5 linked regions of the Tribolium castaneum genome follow. The protein of the gene in region 1 purifies or fractionates together with the protein of each later gene. This does not show direct contact. Links are inferred from orthologs where the notes say so. Each region holds a gene or a part of one and is shown on either strand. Other genes may lie near its edges.

Evidence for each region.
Region 2: the proteins of alphaCOP (region 1) and zetaCOP fractionate together in Homo sapiens (co-fractionation; 6 studies listed by BioGRID and IntAct, with this or other methods). This does not show direct contact. The link is inferred for Tribolium castaneum from reciprocal best matches to the Homo sapiens genes COPA and COPZ1.
Region 3: the proteins of alphaCOP (region 1) and deltaCOP fractionate together in Homo sapiens (co-fractionation; 4 studies listed by BioGRID and IntAct, with this or other methods). This does not show direct contact. The link is inferred for Tribolium castaneum from reciprocal best matches to the Homo sapiens genes COPA and ARCN1.
Region 4: the proteins of alphaCOP (region 1) and nudC domain-containing protein 1 purify together in Homo sapiens (co-immunoprecipitation; 3 studies listed by BioGRID and IntAct, with this or other methods). This does not show direct contact. The link is inferred for Tribolium castaneum from reciprocal best matches to the Homo sapiens genes COPA and NUDCD1.
Region 5: the proteins of alphaCOP (region 1) and betaCOP fractionate together in Homo sapiens (co-fractionation; 6 studies listed by BioGRID and IntAct, with this or other methods). This does not show direct contact. The link is inferred for Tribolium castaneum from reciprocal best matches to the Homo sapiens genes COPA and COPB1.

What each region holds. Positions count from the first base shown.
Region 1 is NC_087403.1:717,840-724,600, forward strand, and holds the start of alphaCOP (coatomer subunit alpha), read right to left. Parts: upstream 3,648-6,761; 5' UTR 3,517-3,647; intron 3,448-3,516; 5' UTR 3,346-3,447; coding exon 3,266-3,345; intron 1-3,265. UniProt on the Homo sapiens protein: The coatomer is a cytosolic protein complex that binds to dilysine motifs and reversibly associates with Golgi non-clathrin-coated vesicles, which further mediate biosynthetic protein transport from the ER, via the Golgi up to the trans Golgi network.
Region 2 is NC_087396.1:16,250,530-16,256,140, reverse strand, and holds zetaCOP (coatomer subunit zeta-1), read right to left. Parts: upstream 3,311-5,611; 5' UTR 3,165-3,310; coding exon 3,147-3,164; intron 3,099-3,146; coding exon 2,853-3,098; intron 2,802-2,852; coding exon 2,668-2,801; intron 2,138-2,667; coding exon 2,047-2,137; intron 1,962-2,046; exon of another isoform or gene 1,930-1,961; coding exon 1,882-1,929; 3' UTR 1,851-1,881; downstream 1-1,850. Other genes in the region: Galphaf (guanine nucleotide-binding protein G(f) subunit alpha), read left to right, coding at 568-734, 785-959, 1,008-1,105, 1,151-1,850; zinc transporter foi, read right to left, coding at 4,174-4,394, 4,447-4,969. UniProt on the Homo sapiens protein: The coatomer is a cytosolic protein complex that binds to dilysine motifs and reversibly associates with Golgi non-clathrin-coated vesicles, which further mediate biosynthetic protein transport from the ER, via the Golgi up to the trans Golgi network.
Region 3 is NC_087394.1:32,201,502-32,208,144, reverse strand, and holds deltaCOP (coatomer subunit delta), read right to left. Parts: upstream 3,759-6,643; 5' UTR 3,606-3,758; coding exon 3,603-3,605; intron 3,494-3,602; coding exon 3,454-3,493; intron 3,396-3,453; coding exon 3,172-3,395; intron 3,114-3,171; coding exon 2,934-3,113; intron 1,549-2,933; coding exon 1,337-1,548; intron 1,290-1,336; coding exon 1,128-1,289; intron 1,079-1,127; coding exon 868-1,078; intron 821-867; coding exon 606-820; intron 557-605; coding exon 352-556; intron 271-351; coding exon 181-270; 3' UTR 14-180; downstream 1-13. Other genes in the region: hfw (protein halfway), read left to right, coding at 5,223-5,270. UniProt on the Homo sapiens protein: Component of the coatomer, a cytosolic protein complex that binds to dilysine motifs and reversibly associates with Golgi non-clathrin-coated vesicles, which further mediate biosynthetic protein transport from the ER, via the Golgi up to the trans Golgi network.
Region 4 is NC_087394.1:22,048,205-22,054,672, forward strand, and holds the start of nudC domain-containing protein 1, read left to right. Parts: upstream 1-2,299; coding exon 2,300-3,727; intron 3,728-6,468. Other genes in the region: protein IMPACT-B, read right to left, coding at 1,359-1,556, 1,611-1,844, 1,902-2,143.
Region 5 is NC_087397.1:6,601,711-6,606,664, reverse strand, and holds the end of betaCOP (coatomer subunit beta), read right to left. Parts: coding exon 4,512-4,954; intron 3,118-4,511; coding exon 2,843-3,117; intron 2,792-2,842; coding exon 1,588-2,791; intron 1,543-1,587; coding exon 1,468-1,542; 3' UTR 1,386-1,467; downstream 1-1,385. Other genes in the region: up (troponin T), read left to right, coding at 14-106, 158-238, 497-575, 647-858. UniProt on the Homo sapiens protein: The coatomer is a cytosolic protein complex that binds to dilysine motifs and reversibly associates with Golgi non-clathrin-coated vesicles, which further mediate biosynthetic protein transport from the ER, via the Golgi up to the trans Golgi network.

The sequences.
Region 1 (6,761 bases):
AAGACAAATGATAGCTAAATTAATAAATATTATATCAAAGAAATTCGACAAAATTCATTGCCAGCTCATTTATAAAACAATAAATATTTTTTCGTTAATTTAAATTAAATGATTAATTGTTGGAGTTTTAGACACATCAAATTTTCTTTCAGATAATTGTTCAGCATATAAATGCGCAACTTTGCCCTAATTTAACCGACCACGTAGGTCTTATAATAACTGAGATCCCCATGGTGGAGCTCAAAAAACCAACACCCCCTATACATATTATTCAATATATCTTGTATGAGAATTCGTTTTCGAGTGTCATTAGTCATTACTCATTACTCATTAGCCCTGTCATCCTAACATTAATTGTGTGGGAGTAAAGAATGATACTAAGAAAATTTTTTTTTAATTATTTTTTAGAAAAAAGATCTTATTTAAAAGATGCTCTAAAAAGTAAAAAATTATGTTTTTCTCCCAGAGGAGAATATTTTTGCTTACAAGTTAGGATTCTAAAATTTATAAAAGCTTCGGGAACAGTGCTGAATTCAAGAAACTAATTCTGTAATGCCTTATTGTTATGACTTGTGACTATGACTTATAATTTATGATATGACCGTTCCCAGAGTTTTTATAAATTTTAGAATACCAACTTGTAACCAGAAGTATTCTTCTCTAATAGAAAAATATTATTTTTTACTTTTCAGTGCATCTTTTAAATTGAATTTTTTATCAAAAACAAATTTGAAATTTTTTAAATTTTATTTTTGCTAACTAAAACTAAAGTTTCACTTATTGTAAACGTCTTTTTCTATTAAATTTAATTTTACTGCATTATTATTGTAACACCATTATTTAGCTGACTTGTGCAAACTTGTTTGGCGGTATGTGATAGAAAAGAGCAGTTAGCATTTTACAATTTACAGCACATTCTTACCTCTGTTCTGTGTATATCGTTCAAGATAAATGAATTTAAAAAAAAAATGCGACATTTGTTTCTACCTGAACGTGATGAAAATGATTACGTATTAATGCTATTAATATTTTTCTATAAGTGAGTGAACAGTGCGCCTTTTTACACACATATGGAGACGTCCCAATGATCATCATACTGTGTATAGGTTGGTATAAGTCACGGTATAAATGTCGTAGGCTAATAGTAAAATCAGGCGTATTATAAAAAGTCTAATCATATTGTAAACGACTGGGCAAATTGAATGAATGAATAAATGAATAAATATAGGATTTTTACAATGCTATTGGAAATTTTAGGTGTATTATAAAATTTATAAAACACCTAACAAGTTTTCGTCTTAATGTAAAATGGTCTTTAATATCGTCCAATTAGACTGGGTTACATTTAGTCGTTTTGTAAAAGAACCAAAAATGCCATCAAACATTTTATAAAATTCCACTTTCTAATGTAGTTAGGTAGTTTAAAAAATTTAAAAAAATTGCACTCTAAATTTAAATTTACTCGTCGACAAAAACTCTCTTATATCTCAATAACTGTAAACATTCTGATAAGAGAAGTTGTTATTTTCGCTTATTTTGAATTCTACTATTACTACTATAACCCTCTGAAATACTTATTTATTATTATCACTAATTCACCCTGTAGTATTTTGAATTTGAGGTTATTTTTTCTTTTTATACTTATCAATTATCGTTATCACTGTAAATTTTTGGGACGAGTCGAATTGGTTCCCGGGGATGGTCGAATTGGTTCCCATCGGTCAGGTAGGTCAGGTAAACAGATTAAAGTATTATAACAGAAATGGCGTTTGTAAGTGTATGAACAAATTTACAAGTTCCAAAACGTTAAAAAACAAATCGTATTTTAACAATTTAAAGGCTGCGGATAAATATTTCTTCGAGTATTCAAGTACTTCCAAAACGATGAAGAAGGCGCATAGAACTTAATGGGTACTATGTCGAAAAATGTTAAAATTATTTTTGTAATTTGTCTCTATTTTGATGCTTTAATAGTATTAATAGACATATTAACGAACGCAACGTCATCATGTGAGATGTCTTAATAGTCATTGCTTGACGAAACATTTTACGAAATTTACAGGAGAGCATTGGGCTTAAAAAATTACTAAATTCTCCTTTTTTTAAATAACCAGTTAGCCATGAATAAATGAAATTTGTTGTTGGATTTTGTGCCAAGAAAATAATTATTTGAAAATTTCTACAAGCTTTAAATCTAAAATATTAACATATATTTGGCTTAATCCTTTTTACCTACCTGCTCATGCGGGAGCCAATTCGACCATCACCCGGGAACCAATTCGACCATTACCTTTTACAGAATTATACTTATAGAGATTACTGGGAACCAATTCGACCACGACCGGTCAGCGATGTAAAGAAACTAAACTATAACAAATCTTGTTAAGTTTATATAGACTTGGTAAATTTGTTTAATGTTTTGATGTTCCTTTATGCAAAGTTGGCGCTTTGACCGGCTCTGATAAATTAGATAGTGGTAGCTTTGTTGTGCTACAATAGAGCTCGAAATGTGTCCAGTGAAAAAATGCTGGAAAAAAGTTCGCGCATTCATAAATCTCAATGTTGAACAAGATATATGTAAACATAATTAGGCTAATTTTTTGTAGTTCTTGATATTACAAACCTATATTAATAAATATATTGCTATAAAGACATTGCTTTTCGTGTCTTCCAGCATTTTAAGACGATAATTTATAATATAAAGTTAAATTTCAGTAGTACTGACTAGCGCATTATAATACTCCAAAATAATGCAGGTTTGTTTCAGTCGTATTGCAAATGAACCATAGGTATTTTACAATAAGACGAAAACTGGTTAGGCGTTTTATAATACGCCTAAAATTTTTTCAGTTGCATTTTAAAAACCCTACATTTATTTATTCATTTACAATTTGCCCAGTCGTTTACAATATGACTAGGCTTTCATAATACGCCTAATTTCACTATAAGACTACGACATATACAAATTGAAAACCCCTTTGTGAACATAACCTGAAACTTTAAAACCCTATTTAGCCCCTTGTTCCGTAAACCGGCCATGTGTTATTCAAGTAGTTGGCTGCTAACAGATAAGAATAAAACAAACCCAGATAATTAATTGCCAACATTGATATCAAATTTGAGTAGTGAAGATTTAAAAAATGTACGACAAATATTTTAATGTTTCAATACAAAAGATAGGTATGTGCTTTGAGCCAGAAATACCGCTGTGCCATGATCTGTATGATCGCAAAAAATGATTAGATTTATTAAACTACAAACTTACCTTGCCAATATCCAAGGACGTTTCGAATGAAATGATAGGCCCTTTACACGGGCTGATTTTGTTTCAAATTTGGTCAACATTTTGAAAACTGGTTAAAATCCCCAGCTAGCTGACGTGTCTTTTGAGGTTATGTTTCTCTTTGGAAATTTATAAGTTAGGTCATACAGTAATCTATAAAATCACTGAAAGAAACAATACATGTAGTAAATAACAACACACCAAAAGTAGTATTTGTGCCAATAGACAAGTACCTTAAGTAATTTTTTTGGATTAAAAAACACATTCCACAAAACCAATATTGACATTTATCGAACATAAAAAAACACGACACGAAACACGTAGCAATTTAGGGATTTTTGGTTTTCAGCAGGTTTGCAAACAAGGTTAAACTTGAACAAGAATCAGGTTTTCTTTTAAATTAAAAAACTAGATATTTCCCCGCATCATTTTACAAAAACTAGGATCAATATAGTTCCACTTTTTCGGATAATTTTGCTGTAATTGAGAAAATGAAAAAATTAAAAAATATATTAACCCCCCCACCTTTAAAAATGGCCAAGTGTCTCAAAATCAATTATTAAAATCCATCTTATCTGATAGATTTTGATGTACTCTTTACGATGGAAAAAAGCGTTTCCTCCTACTTAGCTCTTTTATTTTGGCCGTAATCGACGATTAAAAATAGAAAACTTTTTTTCGAAATATTGCCTTGAAACCTATGCCATTTTGTAAAGCTTTTCACTTCGGTTCTCTTCAATTTTTCCGATTTTCGATAACTCTCATTGGGTGGTAATAATAAAAATGAAGTAGATGCTAATACTACAGTACAGTGGTACAGTGGAGTAAATAATAAGCGTTCATTTAAAAAAAACTTTAGAGTGCTTTGAAATTAAAAAATAATTCATGTGAACGAGTTTGCTTAAGACTCCTCGAGACCCGCAATTTCGTGAATTTCTTTCAAAAATACTCAAAAAATTGGCTCTAAGGTCTCAATACTACTGTTACTCGCTAAATTATAAGTGATTACCTGTGTCGTTGCATCTGGTGGAACATTTATTTTTCAAATGTTGAATCTGTCCACACGTTGAGCAAAAGGTTGAAAAGCCAGTTCTCTTAGCAAAATTAATCACCCATTTTGCAACAAATTGCTGCTGTTGTCCTCCGGCACCTTGGATAGCCAACTGTCATTGAAACAGTGAGCGACTCTCTGCTTGCAGGTCACACTTACTTGTATCAGTAGGTTGAAATAGGTGTACATAAAAACATGTAGCTTTTTTACAACTTTTATTTTTTTTATACAATAATATAATATTTACATTTTACTACGACTACTACTACTTAGCTAAACTTATTCTACACTATTTTCTACTAAAGAACCCCGGCCCTAAAAAATTCACAATAAATTACTGCTGAAAAAGATTCAATAAAACTTACTTCTTTAATTTAAGGCATTATGATTCTTTTTAGTTTTTAGGAAGTCGAGGTAGCTGGGCTCATTGAAATGATCCCAGTTCTCCTCTTCTTCTTTCAACATCACTTCACATGAGGCCCTTTGTTTTTCTTTATCGGCCCGATGACACTTCCAAATGTGCCTTTCAAGCCGAAACCAGAGCAGTACGTGGTTTTTGTCGTATGGACAAACTATGACATCCTCTGAAAAAAAATTATTTCCAACTAAACTACTAAAAAAATATTAAACTTACCAGGAGTATTATAAATCGAACACTTCCTTGTAACTTCCATTTTTTAAAGAATTTCTTGTTATTGCAGATATACACAAGAACTGTGTTACACAACACAACACATTAACTTTTATACAGTTTGGGGTGGAAAATGAGTAAGGACAATTGCGCGATTCATCTTGAATGAGTGAGGAGTTGTTGGCCTTGGAAAAGTGGGGAGTAGCATGAATGACCTTGACCTTGAAAACACCAAGGTCCAATAATGCCTTGGCCTTGAAATGGTGGGGGGAAGTGGGAGGGGTTGGCCTTGAAAAAGTAAGAGAGAACGAGTGACCTTGAAAGAAAGAGAGGGAAAATGGGCGGGGTCAAACTCAAGGTCAAGGTTGTGTTGTGTTGTCCCCCCATTCGTTATCTACTACCAACTCTTAAACTGATCGTAGCATTGGCCGTGCTTTGCTGAGAATACCTGAGGCTGACTGAAGGCTCTGAACCATGTTGTTCTATAAAGCCGTCCCTTAAGTTACGCAACGTTGTTAGGTGACTGTACAGACTTGTAACGCATGCAGAAGTTTCACTTTGTCTTTCTTCAGCGTTGCTTGTGGACGCAGACGGCTCTTGGTCTTGCCTAAAACATGTTTTTTTACTACATACTAAGCCAGGGTCCATCATTTTTTTTTGTAAAATTTTTTTCGGCAACTAATGTTCAAAAAAAGTTGTATGAGGTATTTAAGAGTATTTGAAGACTATACCGGATTGTACGAAATTTATTTATTTATTTACAGAGACAAACAGCTCTATAATAAATAAAATAAAAAAGGCTTGGACTTTGAATAAAGTAGTTGACCGAGTTATAACAAAAAAAAATGGGACCGCTGTCACTTTAGCTAGGCTCTGCTAGTGGTAATTTTTTCTCATTTTGCTTCTTGTTGGAACAATAGTCTTTAAAATTTACACAATCAGAATTTAGGCAAGAATTGGAACGAATGTTTTTGTGGATGTTATCTTCAATTTTTTTCACTACAATTTGCACTAGTTTATCAATCACACAAAAAAAGCTACCTTCTCTAATTATAAATCCAAATAATTAAAAGATAGTGATGGTAGTAGGAAAAATTAAAATTGAAATCTTCAAAGTGAAATTTTTGGCAGCGAAATAGCGACTTTGCGTTGACTTTGTGAGCATTTTTTTGCGAAATTTGTTCGCTCAAACATCACTTAACACGGTCAAATATTGCTTTTTTGTTTCCTTTTTGAAAATCCAACCATTCTTTTTGAGTGATAGTCACTTGTGTTGGCAGATTTATTAAAATATGATTAAACTTTGCTCAAGTTAGCTGAAAACAACTATTTATACGAAAAATGTTGTTTAAAAAATTTTGTTTTTGAAAATTAATTAACTGGGGCTGTCTAAAGGCTGTTTTTGTGTAGTAACAATATTTTTGTTAAAATCGGAATTCCTTAAAAAAAAATTACTCAACTAAACTGACAAATCGCTTAATTAGAGAAAAATTAAGTAATTTTAGCCTTTGTTCACCATTTTTGAGCAAAAACTCGGTGACATTCTATAGTTATAAATATATTTATTCCTTTATTTTTCCATTTTCGAGCATTTTAACATATTTTTGAACTAAAAATTCATATATTTATCAAAATTTCGTCATATCAAAGAAAATAATTTCCTATTTAGGTCCAAAGTTATGTAATTTATGATTTTTTTCCGCAAGATTTTATTAAAAATGGGGATAAACTTATAACCATAGACAGGTAATGACTTAATTTTTTTATTTTTTGGTTGCTTAAGCTAAAAAAACATG
Region 2 (5,611 bases), on another chromosome or scaffold:
AATTTAATACAGAACTGGGGTGTGAACTATGTTTGGGAAAACCTAAATAAAACATAAGCAAAAAGTTATTTTAGTAGCCTTAATTATTACATGTTATCATTATCATTAGTAATAAACGCATAAGATCAATTACAAAAATTTTATTTGACAAATAAATTTAACGGTTGCCTCCTGGAGATCGTTTTGTGATTTTTAATTTGCCTTATTTGGCAACAAGCACTTGTCTTTAAATCATTATCAGCTTTATTACTGATTGTTTAAAGATTAACCCTTTTTACAAAACCTTATCAATATTTTGTTGAGACAACTTTTGTCGCAGACTTTCAAAATCAAATATTTTATCAAATATTTTATGTAATTCCAGCTTTTATTCACTATCTCTGCCACAACCAAAGTACTTATTTATAAAAACCATTGATTTTATTAACATATTATTATTTTTTAATCTGATGTATGATGGAAGTGTTTCTTAAAAAGTAGATAAGATTAAGTAATTTGAAGGGAACTTCAGATAAAGTATAATCACGTATCCACCCAGGTATGCGAAAACCTGGTTAAAAAATAAAAATGTTTGGTTGTGGGCGTCCCAAAAATAGAGAAAACGATGAAGAAAGAGAACATGACAGACGTTTCAAAAGATCGACCAAATTACTACTTTTGGGTACAGGTGAATCTGGAAAAACTACAATCATTAAACAAATGAAAATTTTGCACATTAATGGATTTTCAACCGAGTGAGTATTTCTTTTTTTGTCAAGAGTAAGTCCAAAAAATTAAAATGTAGAGAAAAGAAACAAAAAATTCCATACATCAAGCAAAATATTCACGAGTCTATCTATGATATTGTTTACAACATGGATAAAATTAATCCTCCTGTAAAACTGGAGAAGAGCGGAAATGAAGAATGCGCCAAATTTATTTTAGATTTGGGGCCAGAAGAACTAGAGGAATACACTGAGGTACAATTTGAACTAATAATTGAATAATTATTGCATATTTTTTAATAGGAATATTTTGATAACGTGAAGAGCCTTTGGAACGATCAAGGAGTGCAAAAAACGTTCGAGCGCTCAAACGAATACCAGTTAATAGACAGCGCCCAACAGTAAGTGTTTAGGTGAAAAGAAACGGTTTCTTAAATAAATAACAGTTTCTTAGACCGTATTGACGAAATTAGGAAGCCGGACTACATCCCCTCAACTCAAGACATTCTGTTTTGCCGAATTCGCACCACTTCCATTTCGGAGATTGAGTTCAGCGTCCCAGTCCCTAAAACATACGGGGGCGGAAGCGCCAATTTCCTCATGTACGATGTAGGGGGCCAGCGAGGGGAACGCCGCAAATGGATACAAGTTTTCGACGGAATTGACGCAATTTTATTCATAATCGCAGCGAGTGACTTCGATCAAACACTACGAGAAGATGAATCGAAAAATCGGCTTGAGGAAGCTTTGTCCGTTTTCAGAGACATGTGTGGAAGCCGGTTTTTACGAAAGGCTGGAATGATTGTTTTTCTCAACAAACAGGACCTCTTCCAGAGGAAAATAGAGCACGGGAGAAAATTGGAAAAGTACTTCCCCGAGTACAAAAATTTTAATAAAACTCTGGGTTCTGCGGTGGATAATGCGAAAGCCTTCCTCGAGGAGAAGATAACACAAATGTCGAAAATACAAGTAACAGTGAAAAATTATAATCCAATTACAAAAACAGTAACTGAGGAGAAGCTGCCCCCTAGGGATATTTATATCCACCACACTATCGCTACAGACACTCAGAATGTTAAAAAAGTGTTTGATAGTGTCCACGAAATGATAATTAAGGAAAGTGTAAAAAACATTGCTAGTTACTAATACAAATTTATTACAAGTTTACACAAATACTTTACTTAAGCAAAGACCACTTGAGTTGCTCTTTGGCCGACTGTATTACCTATAAATAAACGTATTTGTTATTACATATTACATATTTATAATTAATTTTTCCTCATACACTTAGCATAACATGACAAAAGCTTCACCAAAAAATTGAATGGACTGCATTAGTTACCTGAGCTACAGTTTGCTCTCCCAAGGGAATATCGTCGTTCCTGAGAGCCACTCGCGACACAACTGAATTTGAATCAGCGTCAATAATAATACTGAAATACAAAAATATGTAAATAACTTACATTGTAAAGGTTAAAAAAAATTACATAATGAAGAAAGTATCCCCTCACCTACAGCAGGTACACCCTATATTTTGTGCATTTTTGCATATACTACATAGTTGTTAATTAGTACATTAAGCTAAGTTTTTGAAATAATTTGTGGAAACAAAACATCTTTTATTAATAATTAGAAAAAAAACTACATCATAAAACACAACAGGCAATATTAATTTACAGACATACATTTGTTTAAGGCTTAATTTCTGGTACGATTAAACTTTTAGCTGAATTTGGAATGGTCGATGTGTATTGTATAAACTCTAGCTATACTGGAAGTTAAGAAGTTTCTAATGTATGCCTTAATAGAATCACCCTCTGGATTACGGTTATTTGTTGTCAGAGCAAAATGAATTAGTAAAACAAAAATGCAACAATAAAACAGATGGAGCCACATTGGGGTACGTTCCCAGGAACAGCCAGTGAAGGGAAACTTCTTCATTAATCCAATATGTGTAACTCACCCCCCATCACAAATTTCATCCATAGCCAACATGACTATATCAAGTGAGTCCAAAACGGCCCTCTTTTCGACGTTTTTGCGCAAAATCTGACTAACAGAGTCATAGAGACAGTTTAAAACGCTCATTAGAATTAACTGAAACGATTTATAATTAACAAAAAATAAATAAAGTACTGAAAAACTTACTTCATTTTCGTGCGAACTACCCATAACATAAAAAAATAAATCAACATTGCTGCGATAAACACAAGTTAGACCATCTAACATGATTATTTCAGCGTTAGCTCTGTGTGTCTTATTGAAGAGATTTTTCTCAAAGGCTCTCTGTTCCTTAGCCGTGGGAAAAACGTTTTTATCGTAATATTTAGCCAAAATACGGTTGCCGTCATTGTCGAGGATTGCAATTCCTTTAACCATGTACAACGTAGGCTCCTGTAAAAACGGGTACTGTGGGCCCCCACAAATAAAACTCGCACATACCAACAGTGTTCCTTCCATTTTTCTCGACTTGTGGCAATTAATTAACGTAACAAATTGTAGCTTATTTCATTAAATTGCAAAATACTGGCAAAATCAGGCTTATTTTGATTTTTGTACGTGTCTAAAATTTGACAATTGACAGAAGATGGGAATTTGGTTTGTGATGTTGGTATTTGTCTGTCATTTGTCAAGTGAAAATTTGAAAATTGTTATTTTGATCATTTTGATTTTAAAATACGACAAAATGGACCAAACAATATGTCCCACAACGCAGCAAAACATTTTCCTGTTTGAGTCATACAGCCGTAACACCCAGTGGCAGGAAAATGAAGGATGGCTGTATAATGAGTCCGTTGCAGAAAAGTGTATTCAGGAATTTAGAAATGAGTTTCCTGGGGCCACTTTTAGCGATGACATGTTACGAGAATACGTGCCCCAATTGGTTGATCGGCTTCGAGCAACTGGTAGTATTAGAGAACCGGAATTACCCAACTTGGAAATTTTTCTAACCCCCGAAAAAGTACAACAAATTAGAGCTGTCCTCGAAAAGGACCCAAACATGCCCCCGAGGAAATTGTCTAAGGTCGTAGGTATGGAAAACATTCCGTGTTTACAATTTGAGACTAATTTGTTTAATTACCAGGCCTACCTGCGGCGACTTGTAAAGCGGTCATGAAAAAACTGAAAAAATAAAAGTATAATTAGTTTTGTAAGGTAATCAATAATTATCTAAAGTTTAAGTTTAACTAATAATGTAGTAACTGTTTTCTTTTCTACGTTTATAATTTTGTTGGAAGAAATAAAATCCTGTTCATATTTAAATAAATTTTATTGTTTTGCGTACCAATACTGGTCATTACATGTGGGTTTACATAATATAGGTAAGTCTTAATCAATACTAATACCTAAGTAGCAGCACAAGGAAGAAGGGGGATGATTGTAAAAAAAACAAGTCTTTGCAGTAAACACGCAGTATCAAAAACCAGATAAAATAAAAAACAGCCAATAGAAACGAATTATAAAGTCATTATTCCCTAAACATATTCTTAAGATCATGTTCAAACAACGCAATCAGCGTCATAATCCCAAACCCTAATAACAGCCCACTCAAATGCAATATGCACTGAATCAAATTCCCTTCATCTTCATGTGCCGAGCTCAACTCTGGTATCATATCCACCAGCGCAATATAAATAAACGTTCCAGCCGCCACTGCGAACACCCAAGAACTGGCAACTTCCGTATTCCCTAAAATTCCAAATATTGAAATAAAAAAAAAACAATATACCACCAAACTAACCTAAATAAACTCCCAGCAAATTCCCCAACACGCACAAGATGCTTGAAATAATGTTATAAAACAGCGCCTGTTTGATACTCATGCCGGCCTTGAGCAGCATGGCGAAGTCGCCCACCTCATGGGGCAACTCGTGGCAGAAGACAGCCACGGCGGTGGAAAACCCCCCAGCGGCACTCCCCGAAAACGCAGCCCCTATCGCCATACCATCAGTGAAGTTGTGGAGACCATCACCCATAATCACCATCCATGCAACCGACGAGAAGTTCTGGGGGGCGGCATGGACGTGCCCATGGAGATGGGAGTGGCCATGGTGGACAGCCCCGTGCTCGGTTATAATAACGGTGTAATCGGCCTCGGGTTCCTCGTGAGGAGCCATTTCGATGTGTGGGAGCATCTTGTTGATTTCGGTGCAGTTGTTCGAGGTGTTGAGGTCGTTGGGACACTCGGTTAGGTTCTGGTTGGTTTCACCGTTCTCGCAGTCTTTGGATATCGCGGTTTCGGACGAGTCGCCCTTGGCCGCTTGCTAAATATGTTTTGAGTTATTATGTTAAGCACAATTTTTGTTTATAAAATTGGTATAAAATACAATGGAATCCGGTTATAACCATTGGTTATACAGGCTGTCTTAAAGTTAGTGTAGGTATTCCCCGAGTTCAGAAGATTGTAGAGAATCACTTCACTTGTACAAATACAGAAACTAAATAAAGACTCGGGACTTCCCCACAAAGATACATAGTTCGAAAGTGCACTTTAGGACTTTAGGTGCATTTTGAATTGCTTTTTTTTCAAATGCAGGCTAAAAATTTCAGTGTTTATTTTTAATCATGGTATAAATGATTTTGGAAAACACTAATGCGATACAATTTCTTGAAAAATCTTTAATTTTTGTAATTTGTCTTAAAAACAAAACGTCAAATTATAAAAATGTCTGAACCATATTTACGTTTTCATTTCGTAGGGGCAGAAATCCTTTAATCAGTGTCACGTACGGCGCTCATGAGTTTAAATTAGTTGTATTGGAAAAAAATATCGCCGATTTCATAAAAAAAAACTAGTACACAAAGATCATTGTTTCATTGAACAAGTATATTGTCATCAAATAATTATCATACTTTCCACTAACTGAGCTAATACTACTTGCGAACACATCAGTGGCGTACGGTTT
Region 3 (6,643 bases), on another chromosome or scaffold:
ATGAAACAACGGGTTATAAATATACTCCTGACTTATTTTATTTATATAATAGATAAAAATTAAAACAAACTTCTTAAAATTTTGTACAAAAAGCAAGAACGAATAAAATATTAGTAGTATTTATACAAGTGAATTTTATTATTATATAATTTCATTAACTATCGTAACCTACTGTGACACTTACACTATCTCATATTTGTCGGGAAACAAGCTAGTTTCAACAGAATACTTAACAGGAGAATCATCGTCCACCATTAATACATCAAGAATCTGAAACGAGAAAACGTCTTTAAAACCACGACCTATTACTAACGCACTCGCCGTGCTGGTGACGTAAACAGGAAAACTCACCTTAATATTTGCGTAAGCAGATTTCGAACTAAAAGAAACTGTCACCGGGAAAAAGTCGTTAGGAATAGATCGGGGCGCACTAAATTCCAACGATCCAGTTTTATTGCTTGAATCTATAATAGGTAGATTCCATATTAGCTGGTTACGTCTTGACTCATGCGTGTATGAGCCATCACATTCGCCCACAACCGGGTTACAACCCATCCTAAAATAATACATCAATAAAATACTGGGATCACATTTTATGAACGTACGGTAACGGAATCAAAATATTGACATCAGCCAGCTCTAAATTCGGATCGGCAAGTTCGTACTCGATATTGATGTCGCAACTGCCATCGCCCACTTCCGACGGCCAACAGTTGATCAAGAGAGGCACTAAACTCTCATCTGTGCTTTGCAATCGCCATTTCAGGACACCGACGTCTGTGTGCAACGGGAATGGTTTGGATGGTTGTTTGAGCCCAATCTAAATTAACGAAATTAATCAACAATAATTTTTTGGTTTGTTTGTACTTGGGAACGCAGTTTGAAAAGTTCCTTGTCTACATTGGGGTGAGTTTGGAGCTGGATGCCACGCGTGTCTTTATTTTCCAACTGGACACGAATTCGCCCCCACTTTTCGTCCCCAATGTGCAGTGTCACCAACCCCAACAACTCGAATTGTTGCACACCGCCGTCACGGCCCATTCGAACGATTAGTTTTTCCTCCAGTCTCAAGTGAACACTGGAAATAATTCAAGTCACTTTCTACTCTATTCTGTTTATTTTCTTACTCATTAATATCGGACTTGATCGCTGGTGTTTTCATTCCCCCTTGTGAAATACTGTTATTAACTGGTGCAATGACATTTTCGCCTTCGGATTTAAGCTGGTCTACGAAAGACTCAACGTCGTGGCCTTTGCCACCCAGTTTCATTCCTCGAGTCGAAGGTTTCCTATTAAATCAATTTAAAAAAAAATTTTTTGGATGTTTTTAACATACTGAGGAGCGGAGGAATAAGCTGGTGGTTTGATATCGTTTGAAATATTGGCAACATCGCCGACTGAAGGGGCTGGAGTATAACCAGATGAGCTACCAAAGCCTCCACTGCTACCAAATGATGGTTTGACGCCCTTTTTGTTGGCTTCCATTCGCTGGCGTTGCAATTCTTTAGCTTTCTCACGCATTTTGTTTTTAGCTTCGCGTTCTTGTGTCTAAAGAGGAGTCAGTTCGTAAATCAGAAATTACATTGGTTTCGAATCTATACAAACAGCATGCCTTAATTCAATTATAGGAAAGGGCTCTAAAAGAAATATTATGCTTTCTATCAAATGTTAGATGTCTCATGTCTTCTGTTTCTATTTTATTCGCCCTAAGACCTCCGTGAGGAGGTTTAAAAGTGCAGAAATATCGGAAATGGCTTTCTATGCCCAAGCTAAACATTCTGTCTGAATAAGATGTTTTTCCTTTCGTGAAACTTTAAATCTTGAATTTATTGTAAATAAAAGCAATTTAAAAATTTAATAACGCTTGTCTTTAAGTTTTCATAGTTTTTAAACCAGTGGATAAATAAGTGGGTCGTAAAAAATTCAAAAACTACACATACAAAAAAATAAACATTTTCTTTAATCACACTGCTAGTAGTTTTTCCAAAAAGTAAATAGTTTAAGCAAAAAAAAACACGTTAGATTTCATTCTCTTTATTCACCTGGTAGGTATATCAACAAGTTATACAAACAATAGCATAGTCTCTTTATGTTGATGTGAAACGGAATATTATTATGGTATTATAAGAACTCTAGATTTTACAGCAATTCTTTTTATGTTCATTATACCATTATTAATTTTCAACATAAAATCCATCAGGGTAACAAAAAAAAATAGTGAGACAGGTATTAGCGATGAATTCGTTCACTTAAACGTTAGAACAGCTGATCAGTGATCACTTACCAAATTAACTGTTAAATTAACTTTTAACAGCAAATTAATTTTTATTTCACCTTCTACTGGGTCACTATGAAATAATGTGTCGAAAAATTTATTATATCTGATTTTATACCTCAAATAAAAATTTAAAATTGGGAGGAATTTTACTTAACATCTTAAAAAATTTATTGGCAATACTGAGTTATTTGCTTTATTACCAAAATTACTTTAAGAGCTGTGACTAACACAAAATCTTTGAAAACTTGTCATTTTGTTTATTTCTTTCAAACCGCTTTCATTTAAGACAGAATCCAAAATCTTACCGGGAAATATACTGAGTTACATGGTTAAAAATTAAAAGTCAGTATTGCCATCTGAAATTACAACTTCTTGGCTTTAATAATTTTTAACCAAAAAATTCCCTTTTTTTGTCACTGATGACAGAATCCAAAACCTTAACCAGAAATATACTTCAGTTACATTGTTTAAAATTAGAATTCAGTATTGCCAACTGGAATTACGACTTTTTGGCATTACAATTTCTAGAACTGTTGTTAATTTATTTTCTGTGAGGCAATCTAATCATGAAATAGCAAATTTGAAATAATAGCCGTGTCCGTTGTTGTACAAACTTTGATAATAAATGATTTTACCAGTTTAGCAATTTTATTACCTGTCTGACGGCCTGATAGACCCGCTCTTCGTGTGAATCCATCTCGACAAATGTGCGAATTTGGCTCAAATTGACGCTTTCCCTGTACCCAAGAGCAACAATCTCATCAAACGCAAAAATGAGGGAAAATGCGTTTTCCGCAATTTCATTTTCTTCCAATGAGCGGCAATATTCGGGAATCTAAAATAATGACAATGTGAGGATGTTTTTGTGGCTTCCATGGGTCTGGACAGCTTACCACTTTCGCAAACAACCTCAGAGTTTCTAAATCTTCCAAAATGTTGCTAGCTCTTGTGGTAATCAGGAGCATGTAAAGGCGCTCAAGTGGCTGATATACATATCGGACCGAGTCGGTCTCTACAAAGGTGTGTTGTGTTCCTGTTGGGATAAGTTTGGGGAAAGCCGCCAGGAGACCCTCAATGCGGGCTTTGGTCATCTCAACAAACTGCCGAGAGACTATGGCTGGAAAGGCAGAGAAAGGTTGCAACACATGGTTCGGTGGTTTATGTGGGGTACTTACTTTTACCGGCCTTAGTGCAGACCGCCGCTGCTATGAGCACCTGAAATCATATGTTATAACGTGAGAAAATGCGTAAAATGGCAACTTGGAAATTTTAAATTGGAATTGTGAAAGGTTGGATTTGTGTGGTGTGTGAAAGATTATCTCACCATTTTAGAGACTGTGAAAGGTCTGTTGCTGTTATGTTCCTAAAAACTAAAATAATATTTTACAAAACATTACACCCTATTAATTTTTTAAGATGACGTTGACTTGTGCTTGCTGTTGAATGAGAAAAACAGTGACGTGACCGTATTCAGTCAGCCAACCTTACGCCGATTCACTGCACCAGCTCTAGGCGCAAAATTCGAAAATGCTCCAGTTTCTACTCATAAGTTACTTAAAATCAAACTAAATAAGTCAATAACTGCTCTATTTTTATATTTTTTGTTGCTTCAGCTATTTAGTAATTTGTTCCTACTAAAATATAGCAATACAGGAATGTGAAAAAAAGCAAAAAAAAACGTAATTATTTTAGAAATAAACCAGATAATAAATTGTATCTAACTAAAAAAAAATATTTTCGGTTTTTTATTATCCACTATGGCCTAAGAATATTTCAGCAAACTAAATTGTCTTAATAGATTATAGTAAATTATGATATTGTAAAGATATGTATCTGAACAAATTGATTGAATATCAAAAAAAAATTGCGGCCTAGAATTACAAGTTATTTTTATTTCTAAGGTGGGTGGTTTGGGTTATTTGAGTATTAAGTATAGCTAGTGCAATAAAAATGATTAAATAAAATATCGTGATTAAATTGCAAGTATTTTGAAAATTTAAATTTTTTTTAATATCAAACATTCCAAAATTTTTATCTTGGCTACCAGATCACGAAAATATAGGCCAGAGTTATTTTTTATTACATTCTGATTAATAAGTAAAAAATTTTAACCATTCTTTGTCTATCATAAAGTCATAAGATAAGGCTATGAAAAAAACATAGTATTTTCCTGTATGCTACTGCAAATGTTAATTAAAGATAGAAAACAATACAAAAATGCCACAGTAAAGTGTCAAATTTCAAAAATTTAAGATTAGAATAATATTAACGTGTGTTAGTCTGACTTTTGTGCGATATATTATATTATTTTCTCATTTTTTAAAGGTAATCAATGGTAATCAAAAAAATTGTAAATGTGAGAAAAATAAACAACAATAATTTTTTATTAACACAATAATTTGTCGGATATTGTTATTCATTCGTTTACTTAATTTTTTACACTTTAGGTACGAGTATTAGCAAGAAGCTTTTAATTACTTTAAGCTGATATAATCAACAAATATAATCAGCCAGCACGATTAACTGTTATTTATTATCTACCTGTAAACCATTATTAATAGTGCGTTTGGTAAATATCTCAAACTAAATAATTACTTTACTTTATTACTCTTCTTTCGATTGGCTCTTGAATTTTCCTTCAGTTTGCACATCTTGTTGAGCAATTATTTGCTGGCATTTTTCTGACGCAAGTGTGTTTCAGTTCGATATTTTCCAATACCCCGATTAGTTTGAAAATTATCGTTTAGGTGGTTACAGTGTATTCAAAAATTTGTACATAGACTGCACTGAAAACTGTAAATCCATCATAGGAATGTGTTAAAATTGATGATTAGGTACTGAGTTTGAAGCATTTTTTATTTCATGAATAAAACATTGGTGGTAGAGGATTTATAATTTGTTTGTCTCATCAAGAAATCAATATGTTTGTCAATTGACATGAATAATGTGCAGTCACAAGCTCACAAGACTACTGTTACTACACATCAGTTTAGTGAGTGTTTTTTTTTTAATCATACTTTACTTTAATAATCAACAAATGTTCCTTTTTTTGTATAAGTGATTTAAGCAACAGAACAATAGAATAGATAAAAGTGTAAAATAATCAATACAAAAATAAGGGTAGGAGTGAAAGGACTGAAAATGGGTGGTTCTAAATTTTGAAAAATAATCTACCAGCAATATAGAGCGAGTATTGGTGGTCATATAAGCGTGTTCTAAAAGTAGAGTGTGAGGAAATATTCAAAATATTTGATTTTCCTTGAATGGGGTCTTTTGAAATGGAGTAATGGAAGTTTGTTTGAGGTGTGGGCAGCGAGTTTCATTGATCCAATTACTGAATAAAGTTTAATTAACAATAATAATTGGGAGTAAAGAGTGGAGAACAAATAGATGGCGCCTTGATATCAACATTAGTAGTTTACTATATTTATCTGTTATTATGTTCATTTTATGTTCACGTTTCCGTGTGCCTCATCAAGGCCGTACCAAGGCCATAGCAAAAGCTATAGTAGTGTGTTATGTTTAGGTTAATTCTGTTAAAAACATCTCGTCCCATAGTGTCTTTGTGTAACTTTGTAGTAAAGGCTTAAAACAGTTCTATGGCCAAAGAATAATGTGTACCGTTGATTGTGTTCCTCTACCTGAGTGAAAAGGTATGTTTCATTGCATCTTCCTCTCTGACACTTAAGTACTATATGGCTAAGTACTAAGTGCTCTTACTATTGTTTACAAGTTGCCTATATCCTGTATCAAAGCAAATTGCTTTTTCCTGTGGAAGCAATTGACACATTTTAATGTGTTCAAAATTAGATTTGTATGTGCACCCAATCTAAATATAAATTTCTGTTGATAAATTAAAATTACGACGTAATAATTGCAAACCTATGCATGTATTTTTATCGTCATTCCGCAACGTGTGTTTCTTGCATTGTTTTCACTGACTGTTATAGCGATATTTAATTGATTTATGTGATTGTTATGAAATAATTTTGTCCGCAACAATGTTAATAAAATTGTATGTGAATGTAATGTTAATTCTAGTGTTATAACTAATATTTTTTATTGATGTGTGGACTTATAATTAACGTAAGTGAATTAATAATAATAATTACAGTACTTATATTTATTAAAAAAGTAGAAATAATATCCCAGTTGACCGTAAAATCTTAAAAATTATGCGCACCTACGTCGCATGTTCTTTGGCCATTAAAGACAGCTCCTTGTAATTTATCACAATCAATAAATGGTGTAATTCGTACTACTTGTTGCTTGTAAGCAACAAGAATATTTATCAAAATATTCACCTGTTGAGAATGCGATACTAGTGGTTATCACTGCGGGAATTTCCAAAAAGTGTGAGTTCGA
Region 4 (6,468 bases), on another chromosome or scaffold:
TATCGACAGGTGTTACAGATATCGAAATCGAACTACTAGCTTCATTTCATGTTGATTACATGTAGGAGATTTATCTTTTGAAATAAAATAAAAATTCTCCCATCTTGAATCACTACACTACGCATCACTACACAAACATGATGACATGTTACAAGAAAACTTCATTTTCTAAGTTTTCTTTTACGAAGAGTAAAGCTCTGTAGAATTCAAATTGAATGAGAAATGTTTAGCAAAAAACCTTCTAGAAGAAAGATATGAGAATGTAAACACCAAATTTTTCACATTTTGTTCGATAAATTTTCATATCATGCTTTACTTCAAACCACCCTCTAGTCCTGCTAAGTTTAATATCAAAAAAGTAAAAAACACATTTTTATGTAAAGTTTTCTGCTTTACAATTTTTATTTAGAACTCAGACTCTTAGTTCTTACCTATTTTGAATAATTTTGAAGTCACTTCTCAGGCGTCAAAAACAATTTCTTTGATTCAATGTCTTTTATAATAATATATTTCAAAAATTATTGTATACCAGGTGAGGCAACCTTATGGCACACTTAAAAAAATCGCGATTTCTTATTAAATAAATTAAATAAAAAAAATGCATTTAACATGCCTAACTGTGCGTTCGAAAGGCATCTCCCCTAATTTTTTTGTAACTTTCCAGTTACAGATAAAGATAATAAAATTAAAATAATGTAATTTTCAAGCAAGAAGTCAAATTCTGAATTTTATACAAAACTACGCGTATTTACTTCAGATAATTGTTTACGAAATTAGCGAAAAAAAATACCAATAAAACCAAATTAAACCACCAATTAAACACACTTTCACATTTTAACTTTAAAAATTATTTTTATTTATAGAGTTGCTACTTCTGGCGTCGTAAATTTAGGTGATAATGAGAGATCTAATCATTAATAGCTATTTTACATTTTTATCAATCTTATTTAAAAAAATAATTCGGTAAAATGCGACGTTGGCGTTTTTATAGATTTGATACAGCTAGTACTTTTCTCAAACATTTGAATTAAAAGCTTTTGTATGAGAGTGAAAAAACTTATACAAACTGCGAAGAGCACATTAAATGTAGATTTGTCGATTATCGAAGATGTAACGTAATAAGTTTATTTTTTCGACAGCAGAATTAACAAAAAAACAAACTTCATTGCTATTGAACAACTTTACCCATTAAGAAACTTCACTTTGCGGTTAAAAAACTAAATGAATAATTATTTTCAGTAGAATAAAGCACACAGACATCTGCTATAGAAAAAAATACATTATGAGCTAGGATTATGAGTTATTATTGTTACCAACGCACCCCATTCGACTCAAACGACATAGAAAAAAACACTCACCATCTAGAAACAACCACCATCACATTGGTTACATTCAAAATTTGTAATAAATGTAAAACACGCCCTCCGGCGTGCGTTTCACCATCGTCATCGCAGTCTTGGAGAATGGTTCCCTGAGAAGTCAAAATTCTATAAGCTGAGATGTTATGAGTTGCTTGAGCAATTTTTTTATTATCAAGTAAAAAATTCATAAATTCTCTATAACAAAAAATTAAATAGAATATCATTCAGTAATTTGGACATGTAAAATACCTTGTCTCTTCTAATGAGTGAACCCGAGCCATGTGACCCTGAAAAACACTTTTTCTGTCTTGTATAATATCCCCATGTATCACTTGTAAAAAAGTTTCCTTCCTGACTTGTTTCTCTTCAACTTCGCCATTTAAAACTTCTGGCTGTGGAGCACTTAAAACTTCTGAACACTCGTCCACAATTTCCTTTAACTTTTCAATCCACTGAAACAGAATAGGGCTTCCCTGGCTACTTCTAAGAAATCATAGTTCAAAAATAATTGTAAGAAGCATAAACACTTCTTGTTCATACTCGTAAATGTTACCAAATTCATCGGAAATTAGCTGCTTCTGCTCTGACGTTAATGTAGGAGCCAATAACTCAAAACTTGGGGGCTTGCTTGACGGATAATCATCATTCAAAGTTATGAATAATTTAACGTTGGGATTAATTTGAATGCTATAACAATTCGTGTCCGTCTCCAGCCGCCAGTTATCATCGTAAATAGATTTCAAAGCTTCAAGTTCCTCACACTGTTCCGCTAAATTATCCATTTTTTTGGAAAACACATTTTAGTTTTGAGGTTATGTTTACACATTTCTGTCATACGTCAGTCATACTTTGACAGTGCGAATTGAGGTTATGATTTTTATTCCAACAATTGTCTTGTAATAATAAATTCAGTGCCACACAGTATTTAATTACACAAGATGCAGTCTCACCCGAAATTAATGGAATTGCGTCCTGATCGATCATTACTGAACTCTGATTTTGACGGTTATAAGTTGTCTTTGGCCGAGATCCCCACAATTAGCGAGCAGTTAAAAGTACCAGTGGACAGATTAGTGCCTGATGTAAATCAGTATTCGTTGCTCCATGCAAAACTCTTTGCTCTTCACAATCATTTGATTAGCGAAAATGATAATGAATCAGTTTATTTTGTTGATAAAGAGTTGAACGTTCAAAAATTTAGCATTGAATCATTGACACACACATTCTGTAAAACAACCGTGTGGACGCTACCTTTACAGAGAGAAAGGAGCTTTGGGGATTACAATATTTCCCTGAAATTTGCCTCAAGTCAGATTGCCGTTGTAGCAGATGGAATGGGCTATCTTTACGTATTAGACAGGGGCTGCAGAGACATTGACGATAAATGGAAGATACTCTTTTCTGGGGACGTGACAGGTCCTGATCAGAAGTTTGTTGTAACTGATGTGGTTTTTAAAGAGGCCCCAAAACCACATTTGCATTTATTACTAACCAGTATAAGACAGAGGGAAGCGAATGAGAGAAATTCAACAATTTTGCACTGGATAACTTTGGAAAAAAGCGATTCGTGGAACCAAGTGGCTTTGAGGGAACTAACAGTTAAAGGCTTCGTCCAGTACGCAAATTTCGAACGCACTTGTGACGCAGTTTACGTAATCAGCGATGATGGTTGCAAATTCACCCTGGATTCGGAAAATGAAATCAAAAAAGCCGAAGAAATTCAAGTTGAAAAGAAATACAAGTGGAGCCAAACCAGTGAAGATTTGACCATTAAATTTCCACTTCCTGAAAATTTTAAGAAAAATTTAGTCCACGTAACCACCGAACCAACCCACATCTCGGTCAAATACGAAAATGAGACTCTCCTAACCGGCAAATTGTATCACCAAATAGACCCTGATGTGACCTGTTGGACCATTGAGTCAAGCACTCTCGTCCTAACTTTACAAAAGTGTGAATCCGGCCTTATGTGGCCAGAAATCGTCGAAGGTGGCTACGTTTTTGGCGAATATTTGCCAGATCCGGCTTTAGTTAGCGAAATTGCGGCGAGATTGGCCCCACTTACGAGCGATACCGAGATGGGGCCGCCCACAGGGACCACTTTCAACAGCCAACAAGTGGAAGAGTGTGACTTTGAGTGCGATAAATTGACTGTGTTTGAACGAATTTCGCGCGATTCGCATGAGGTCACCCATAAAATCAACTTGGGGTCACATCAAGTCCTGCTAAGTGTTGGGTTGGAAGAGAACCAGCCGTTGGCTGTAGGGATCCGAAGTGATGTTGATACGTGTATCTGGCAGCCGACTAATGAAAATGAGTTTCGATTGGTTCATAAGGGTACTTTGCTAGCGCTGGGTTATATTCAGGTGAGTTAAGATATATGGAGGACTAAAACTAAGTGGCGAAACGAATTTGAAAATCACCCAATTTAACCGACTCGGCTCCAAATTGATTAAGTTAATTTAAATTTATGACTTGCTCAAAAATACTTGTTTAAAAAAATTGCAGGAATGTTGGCTTTTAGTTTTTAATCAGCTGTACAAAACTCACGGCTATTATTTTCAAAAGTAATTTTTTTTATCGAGCATTTCACAAAATTTACATATTTAATGTAAAATTGTAAAGCGTGGTAAATACAAACAAACTCTACAATTTAACAAATACAGATTTACTAATCGATATTCCTAATTACAAAAAATGTTTTTTTAAGGTAGCTAAACGTCGTCAGATTTAAATTGGCAAAACCAGCATATTTTCATTAAATACGTTAACTTAATAATTTAGTAGTGCATTGATGACCTTTTGTTTTTCTCAATCACTTTAAGCTTAAAAGTATCTTCAAAATCAAACTAGAGCAAGAAATCAAGAAATGTTTTTATTAATTTTAGTAAAATATATGAGGCATTTGAGAACACTTTTGAAAAGTAAATTCTTTTAATAAATAGATGTATTTTATTTAATTTTTAGTGTTTCGACTGATACGTGTATAAGTTTTTTAAGGCAAATTTTTACTAAACAACAGGGAAGTTTTATAAGGTGTTAAATAAATTGGTACTTGACCAAATCGCACATAAGAATTAAATACATTTTAATAACATATAGTATAAAAAAAATCACACATAATACGTATACGTGTATAAGTAACTTAACTAAGTTACTAATTAGTAATTTAAAATGTTGTGAAGTAAATATGGTCTCTTAAATTGTCTATAAAGCTCTGCTTTAATTCTAAAGAGAAAATTATAATACAATTTAATTTTTTGAGATATCATAAACTTCTAACGAAAAGCACAATTGATCGAACAGTGATTTTAGAATATGGATTGTAATTTAGTTTTTTATTTTAACCTTTTCATGAACGTTATTCACTTTCGGTCTTTCTTTTATACAGAGTCAGTTTAAAGTAACACATAAAATTCGTAATTCTTTTAATTTTAAAAAATAAGACAATGCAAAAACAGGTAAGTTAGCATTTTAATTGAGCTTAAATTTGACCTGACTGCATCAGTCATGGCGGACAATATGGCGGCACCATGACGTCATCACAGAATTTTTAAATGGAACGGTATAATTTTTCTTATAAAATCAGAAGCTCTACTAATAAGTCTTTACAATATGGATGAACCAAACACGTAATTTTTTTTGACATCATCATTATAAAGTGACGTATAAAATTCATATTTCTTTTATTGTTCAAAAATGAAAAAAATGCAGAAACGGGTAACTTAGCATTTTAATTGAGCATAACTGGATCAATCATGGCGGCCAATATGGCGCCGCCATGACGTCATCAATTTTTTTTTAATGAAACGATATAATTTAAAAAAAAATAAAAAAATTATTAGTCTAAAATAAGGTATAAAATTCATATGAATTAGATGCTATGACTTAATCCAGGTAGGTCAGAATTTAACTTAAACTTAACTTAAAATACTAAGGACCGGTTTATGGAAACATCATTAATTTAATTCGCAATTAAATGGATGATTAACGGATCACGTGACCAAATTGAAGCAGTTTGGTTGGTCCATTCGCGTTGTTAACTTTTAACAACGTAATTAGCTTTAATTGAGCTTTTATTTTAGCTTTTAGCTTTTATTTTAGAATTCCAAAATTTTTTTCCGCGTTTGGTTTACTCATATTCAAAATAAGTAGCACAGTTGTAAACGCCTATTAGTAGAGCTTCTAATTATAAAAACGGTACCGTTTCATTTAAAAAAAAAATATAATGACGTCATGGTGGCGGTACAATGGCCGCCAAAACTGATCTAGTTCAGTGAAATTTGAGCTCAGTTAAAATGCAAAGTTACCTGTTTTTGCATTTTTTTAAATAAAAAAATTCCGAAATTTACTCTGTAGGTGCTTACACTGTTTTTTTAATTCAGTCATTGCACTGCATTGTTTTTCTAATTTGTTTTGGTTTTTAGAATACATCGTTTTAAGTTCATTTTCTTTTGATTCGTCATAAACTCATAAATTTGTGTAAGCGATTTGTCAGACACGTAATTGTGTACATCTTCATTCTCGGATTCAGATATATTAGGATATTTTTGTTTTTTTACACATTTTTTTTATTCTCTCGTAATTAACTTGTAACCCCATTCTAAAATAAGTATCCAGTTTCATAAAAAATATGCAAAGGGATAAGGAAAGCATTTGAAATTCCAAATACGATTAAAAGTTTTTAAAGATACATGAAAATATATATCACTAATGTGCTTAATGTCTATAGTTTTGTGGAAGGACTTGAGCAAAGATTGCAGAATCCTTGATGCCGGATACTAATAAATGTATTTTTTCTTCATTTTTAGGGTACCTAGTTTTTGCCAAGAACACTATAATAATTATTAGCCTTAAAAATTGCAACTGCTCCAAGTTTTACTTTTTCCTTCCATGCTTAATTTAAATAAATAACATCTTTGAGCATTTAATTTCATTATTCAATAATGTATTAATTAACTAAATCGGACACTTGTTATGGAACGGAGGGAGTATTATTAATATTTTATCTGTTGCCTTAATTTTTTCATCTAATTCTTGATTTTCTATATTTTTATGTTTGAGCATCCGTTCTGACTCTCTAGCTCTTATTTGGAAGTTAATAAAA
Region 5 (4,954 bases), on another chromosome or scaffold:
CGTAATTTTACAGCTTAAAGAATTGAAAGAGAGACAAAAGCAGCAACTCAGGCACAAGGCCTTGAAGAAGGGCTTGGACCCCGAGGCTCTCACCGGCAAATACCCCGTACGTGTTATTAATTCTTGTGTTAAGTGTTTGTAATTTTGTGTTTTGTAGCCTAAGATCCAAGTAGCGTCCAAATATGAGCGTCGTGTCGACACCAGATCGTACGACGACAAGAAGAAACTGTTTGAGGGTGTAAGTATTACAAAAGTCAAAAAAAGGACCGATGATTGCGTTGTGACCGTTTCTGTTAGGGCTTTGACCACCTAAACATGGAACTTTTGGAAAAAGTTTGGAAAGAGAAAGTGGGCGAGTTCGAAAGTCGGTCGAGAAGTAAGTGGGCATATCCGTTGTGTTGTGCCCATTTTGCTATTAATCACTTGTCTCGTGTCCTTTTTCTAATCACAAAACTGTACTGTGCCATGTCTGAGTGTGCGTTTTACGTTTTAACAGGGTTACGAAGAAATTACCAAGGAAACCAATGAAAAACTCTGGAAAGACAAAATTGGGCAATTCGATTCGAGGCAAAAATGTAAGAGTTGCTGCTGGTTGCTTATTTGTGCCAATGTGGGCAAGGGCGGGTTCTGAAACGTTGTATTTTAGCCAAACTTCCCAAATGGTTCGGTGAAAGGCCCGGCAAGAAGAAGGGCGATCCTGAGACCCCTGAGGGCGAAGAAGAGGGCAAACACGCCGCCGATGATGATGAAGACATCAAGGAGCCGGTGTTCGAGCCCGAGCCAGAAGAGGAGGAAGAGGAAGAGGAGGTTGAGGTAGAAGAAGAGGAAGAGGACGACGAGGAGGAAGAAGAAGAATAAGCAAGCGAGAACATCGTTTTGTCCCGACGTCCATGATGTACTTTTTATCTTATTTTATTTTCGTTTCCAATAATAAACTGTATTTATAATCAAATAAATATCGTTACATCAAAACTACGGAGGTCTAAAGGTTAGGATACGAAACCACGTTCAAATAAAACGGTCCCGTCCTTGATAGTTTCCTTAGTGCCGCCAGAGAGCGCAGTCGTTCATTATCGTCTGTTTTCTGAGCAATGAATTTTATAAATGATAAAGCATTAAACATAACGCAAAATTTATCGTTATTTATATTTAAAAAAAAAAACTTCTACCAATTTGCACTTTGCCAATATTTTGTAGCGTTTTGAAAAATACGGCACGAAGCGAAAATGTTCTTTTTTTTCTCACGTTTCTTATGAAAATTTCAGTCATTAGTTTTTCTCACAGTGACTTTATTTTAGAATAATACAGTTTTTCTCAGAATTGGTTGAATTTAAATTAATTTAAAGAGTTGGCGCTGAGACGGTATAAGTACTCTATTTTTTGGATTCAGAAAAAGCGAGTTTTCCGTAATCAAAGCCATTTTTTCAAATAAACTTTATTAATATTAATACGACCATAAAATACAAATTATGCAGCGATAACTTTACTCTGTTGCCCCTTCTGTGTCATATTGATCTTGTCACCCAAACTCAGAGCCATCCCCTGCAACAACAAACTCAGCTGTGATTCACACTCAGTGCTACCAACCTGACTCTTGGCCCTGATCCTGATATGTCCAGTAACGGGTGCATCAGGTTTGTTGAACGGTTTTTCAATACTCAAATTAGCGAGAGCGTCCTCTCCAAAGATTGATTTTGCGTACATATTGGCGGCCATGAAACCGCACTGCCCTGACAGGGCCTTCTCCGGAGTCAAACACTTCATGTTGGTGCTTTTGATCAAGTGCTTCAAATATTCCGCAAGGTCGGTTAAGGTCGTATTAACCGAAACCTTATTCTCCCACTCGAACTCGGCCCACATTTGCCTGAACTCCGAGTCGCTACAAGTGGCCGGGACTATGTAATCCATAATATCAATATGGATGTCGTCCAGGACCACCACGTTTCGGTCGGACGCTGCTCCCGTGACGTCATAAACTATGTTCCCGAAAATAATCCCGTTTTCGGTCGAGGCCACTTTCACGTTGGCCTTAATGTTGCAGAAGTCTTTGGGCGCCAGAACCACCGGCTGCGGTTTTTCCACGAGTTTCAAATCGCCGAGAGTTGCCAACTCAAGGGTGCAGTTTTGTAACGTATCGTTGGTCTGGTTGACTATCAAAACGTCCAAAACAATATCATACTGGTTGACATGGACGTAGGCTTCGGCATACACCGGGTCTGAAAAGCCGGTCAATTGAGTCACTTTGTTCAGCTTGTTAACCCCAGTGCTTGTGTCACTGCCGCCGACTCGGCCCCCAACCAAGGCTTGTGACAAGGACGTTTCGAAGACGTTTTCACCCAATTCGCCCGACTTGTCGGCTTGTAATTGCATAAAATTGATCGGATCGTCGGCTTGTATGACATTACCAGCCTTTTCTTTCGCTTTCTGATTGAGTGCTTCTTCAATTTCTTTGGCGACTAACATGTCGTTAAGTGCCTGTCGGCACAAGTCGGTAAAAACCTTGATAATGCTCGGCTGCCGGTCCGAAAGCACCCGCAAGCAGAATAAAACGTGGTCCTTATCATCATTGGTCATGGCCTTAGTTGGCAAACCCGACTTCCCCAAGTGAATAATCCCGGCCATGATCATCATAACTTCGGCATCAAACCGATTCCTTTCAACCGCATTTTTAACCGAACTGCCGTACCTTAGAGCCAGTTTGGTCAAAGTTGAGGCGATCGCAGCCCCGATAAAGAAATCGCCGTCGATTAGATACTGGCGAAGTGGGGGCCGCTTCTCTTTTGTGCTTTTCCTAAAGCTTGATTTACAAACCGGGCTTTTCTCTCGACAAATGACTACTTACTGAACCGTGTTGAAGGCTGATTGGGTGGCGTAAGTTCCGTCAGAAGTGACGAGGGTGCTGGAAGCTTGTGTTGGGTTCGGTTGGGTGACTTCTTCCGAATCTCCGGCCACTAGACGTTGCTCCGCTTCCAGAAGGGGGCCCTCGCCTAGGGTTTGGTTGATGGCTTTAAGTACGGACTGGATGTCGGCCACAGTTGTTGCGTATTCGCCTAAAATCCAAAGGGCGGCTCGGTGGATTTTCACCGATTTTATGTTGGGGAAAGCTTCGAGGAGTTTCTGGAAAATATTTTTTTAAGACAAACACTCGGGCATCATTGAATCTTTTTTTCACATATATAAATTTTTGTAATAATGTTAATAAATGATTAAAATTTAAAATTATTGGTTTCTTATTACGTGATTGTGGATTGTTTTACCAATAGTTTTTGCTCCCATAAACCAAGAAACGCAAAATAGTTCAATTTTAAAGAGACGTTGCGTTAACATTCTAAGGGCAACGAAACTAAAATCTTTCTTCATTAAATAATTAAATTTATTAAAATTAATTTAATTAATTATATCTTGGCCCCAAACTGTCGCTGGGATAATTTTCACCATATCACAAAATTTTGGTCTCACAATTAAAATTTAAAAGTAAACCGTCAAAGATAAAAATATGGAAAAAGGTATAAGGAAGCAAAGTTTTCTCATTTTTTCGGCGTTTTTCACAAGAATATGAGCGTAAGGTGAAGTAAATAATACCGATTGTTTGCTGTCATTTTGTGTCGCAGTGGCCATAATTTTTATTAACAATGTTTTTCGGCATAGCAATGCTTTTTTGATTTAACCAGCTTCTTATACATGTTTGAATATGTCATATAATATGACTTTTCTTTTTTACTCGTAGTAATAAAACGCTCAGATACAGTGAAATTTAATAAAGCTTTATAACAATATTTAATAATTTTTTCAGAAACCTAACGTGATGAAGTACATAAGAGACACGTATTAAATATCAGAAAAAAATCATGTTTATTATAATAAGTAAATCAACCAAGTCGAAGTTCACCAATTGCTCTAAATTGGAATGAGTCCAAAAATCCAAAGTGGTTGTTTTCTCAAACAGGCCAATCACAATGCGTATTAATACTTACGTTAATTAATAATTTTTTTGCTTCTACTCATCGCATTGGAAATGACGTAAGACGAAAGCATCATCTTTCATAAAAAAAATCGACCGAAATGTGACCCAGATATTTTAATTAGATGACCTTTTCATGATTTTCATTCATAAAATATGGACGCACTAGTAATATTGTTCGTATTTTTTCTTTTTTAAAAAATTGTGACTTGATTTATGTCACGACAGAACTCAAATCAATGATTATACGGAAAAGAAAAATTTAAATTCGATTATTTCTTGCAGTTTATATAGAAATAAATGCGTAATCATTAATCAAGTGTGCGTCATTTTCGATATTTGACGCTCCAATGATTAAACACATTCAGATAATAATAAAACAAAATTAATAATCAAACGAAATGCATAGCAAAACGTTTGATTACCGACAATTGAGATCTTACAAATAATCTAATCAAATAACCATGAAATAACCCAAACAACCGTTCTTAATCGAGAGTTGACTTACGTCAAACGTCCAATTTTTCAAATTTTCAAAGAATTTTCTTACCTCAATGATGAGCGGCTGCAAATTATCGAATTTCTGAATCGCCTCTCTGACGAAGATCAGAACATCAACGGCTGCAAGCTCATTTGTATCAGATAAGAATTCGACCAAAACTGGAATAACAGTTGCTGCAACATCCGGAAATCGAATACAACAAGAATGCAAAGTCCGGACTAGCAACTGTCTATATTTTCCGGTATCTTCATGCTCAACATCGTGCGTTTTCGCAACTTCTTTCTTCAAAACCAAGACCATTTCTTCGATATTTCGCGACGAAACCAAATCCATCGCCAGATTAAGAGTCTTTTTGCGCACCTCCAAATCAGGACTCGACAAAACCCTCAAAATATCCATAACCAAGTCTTGAAGAACCCTTTCGTGAGTTGGGTGGTCTTTGAGAGCGATCAGACGGTCCAAAACAATGAGCTTGACATTGTTGTCGCTTT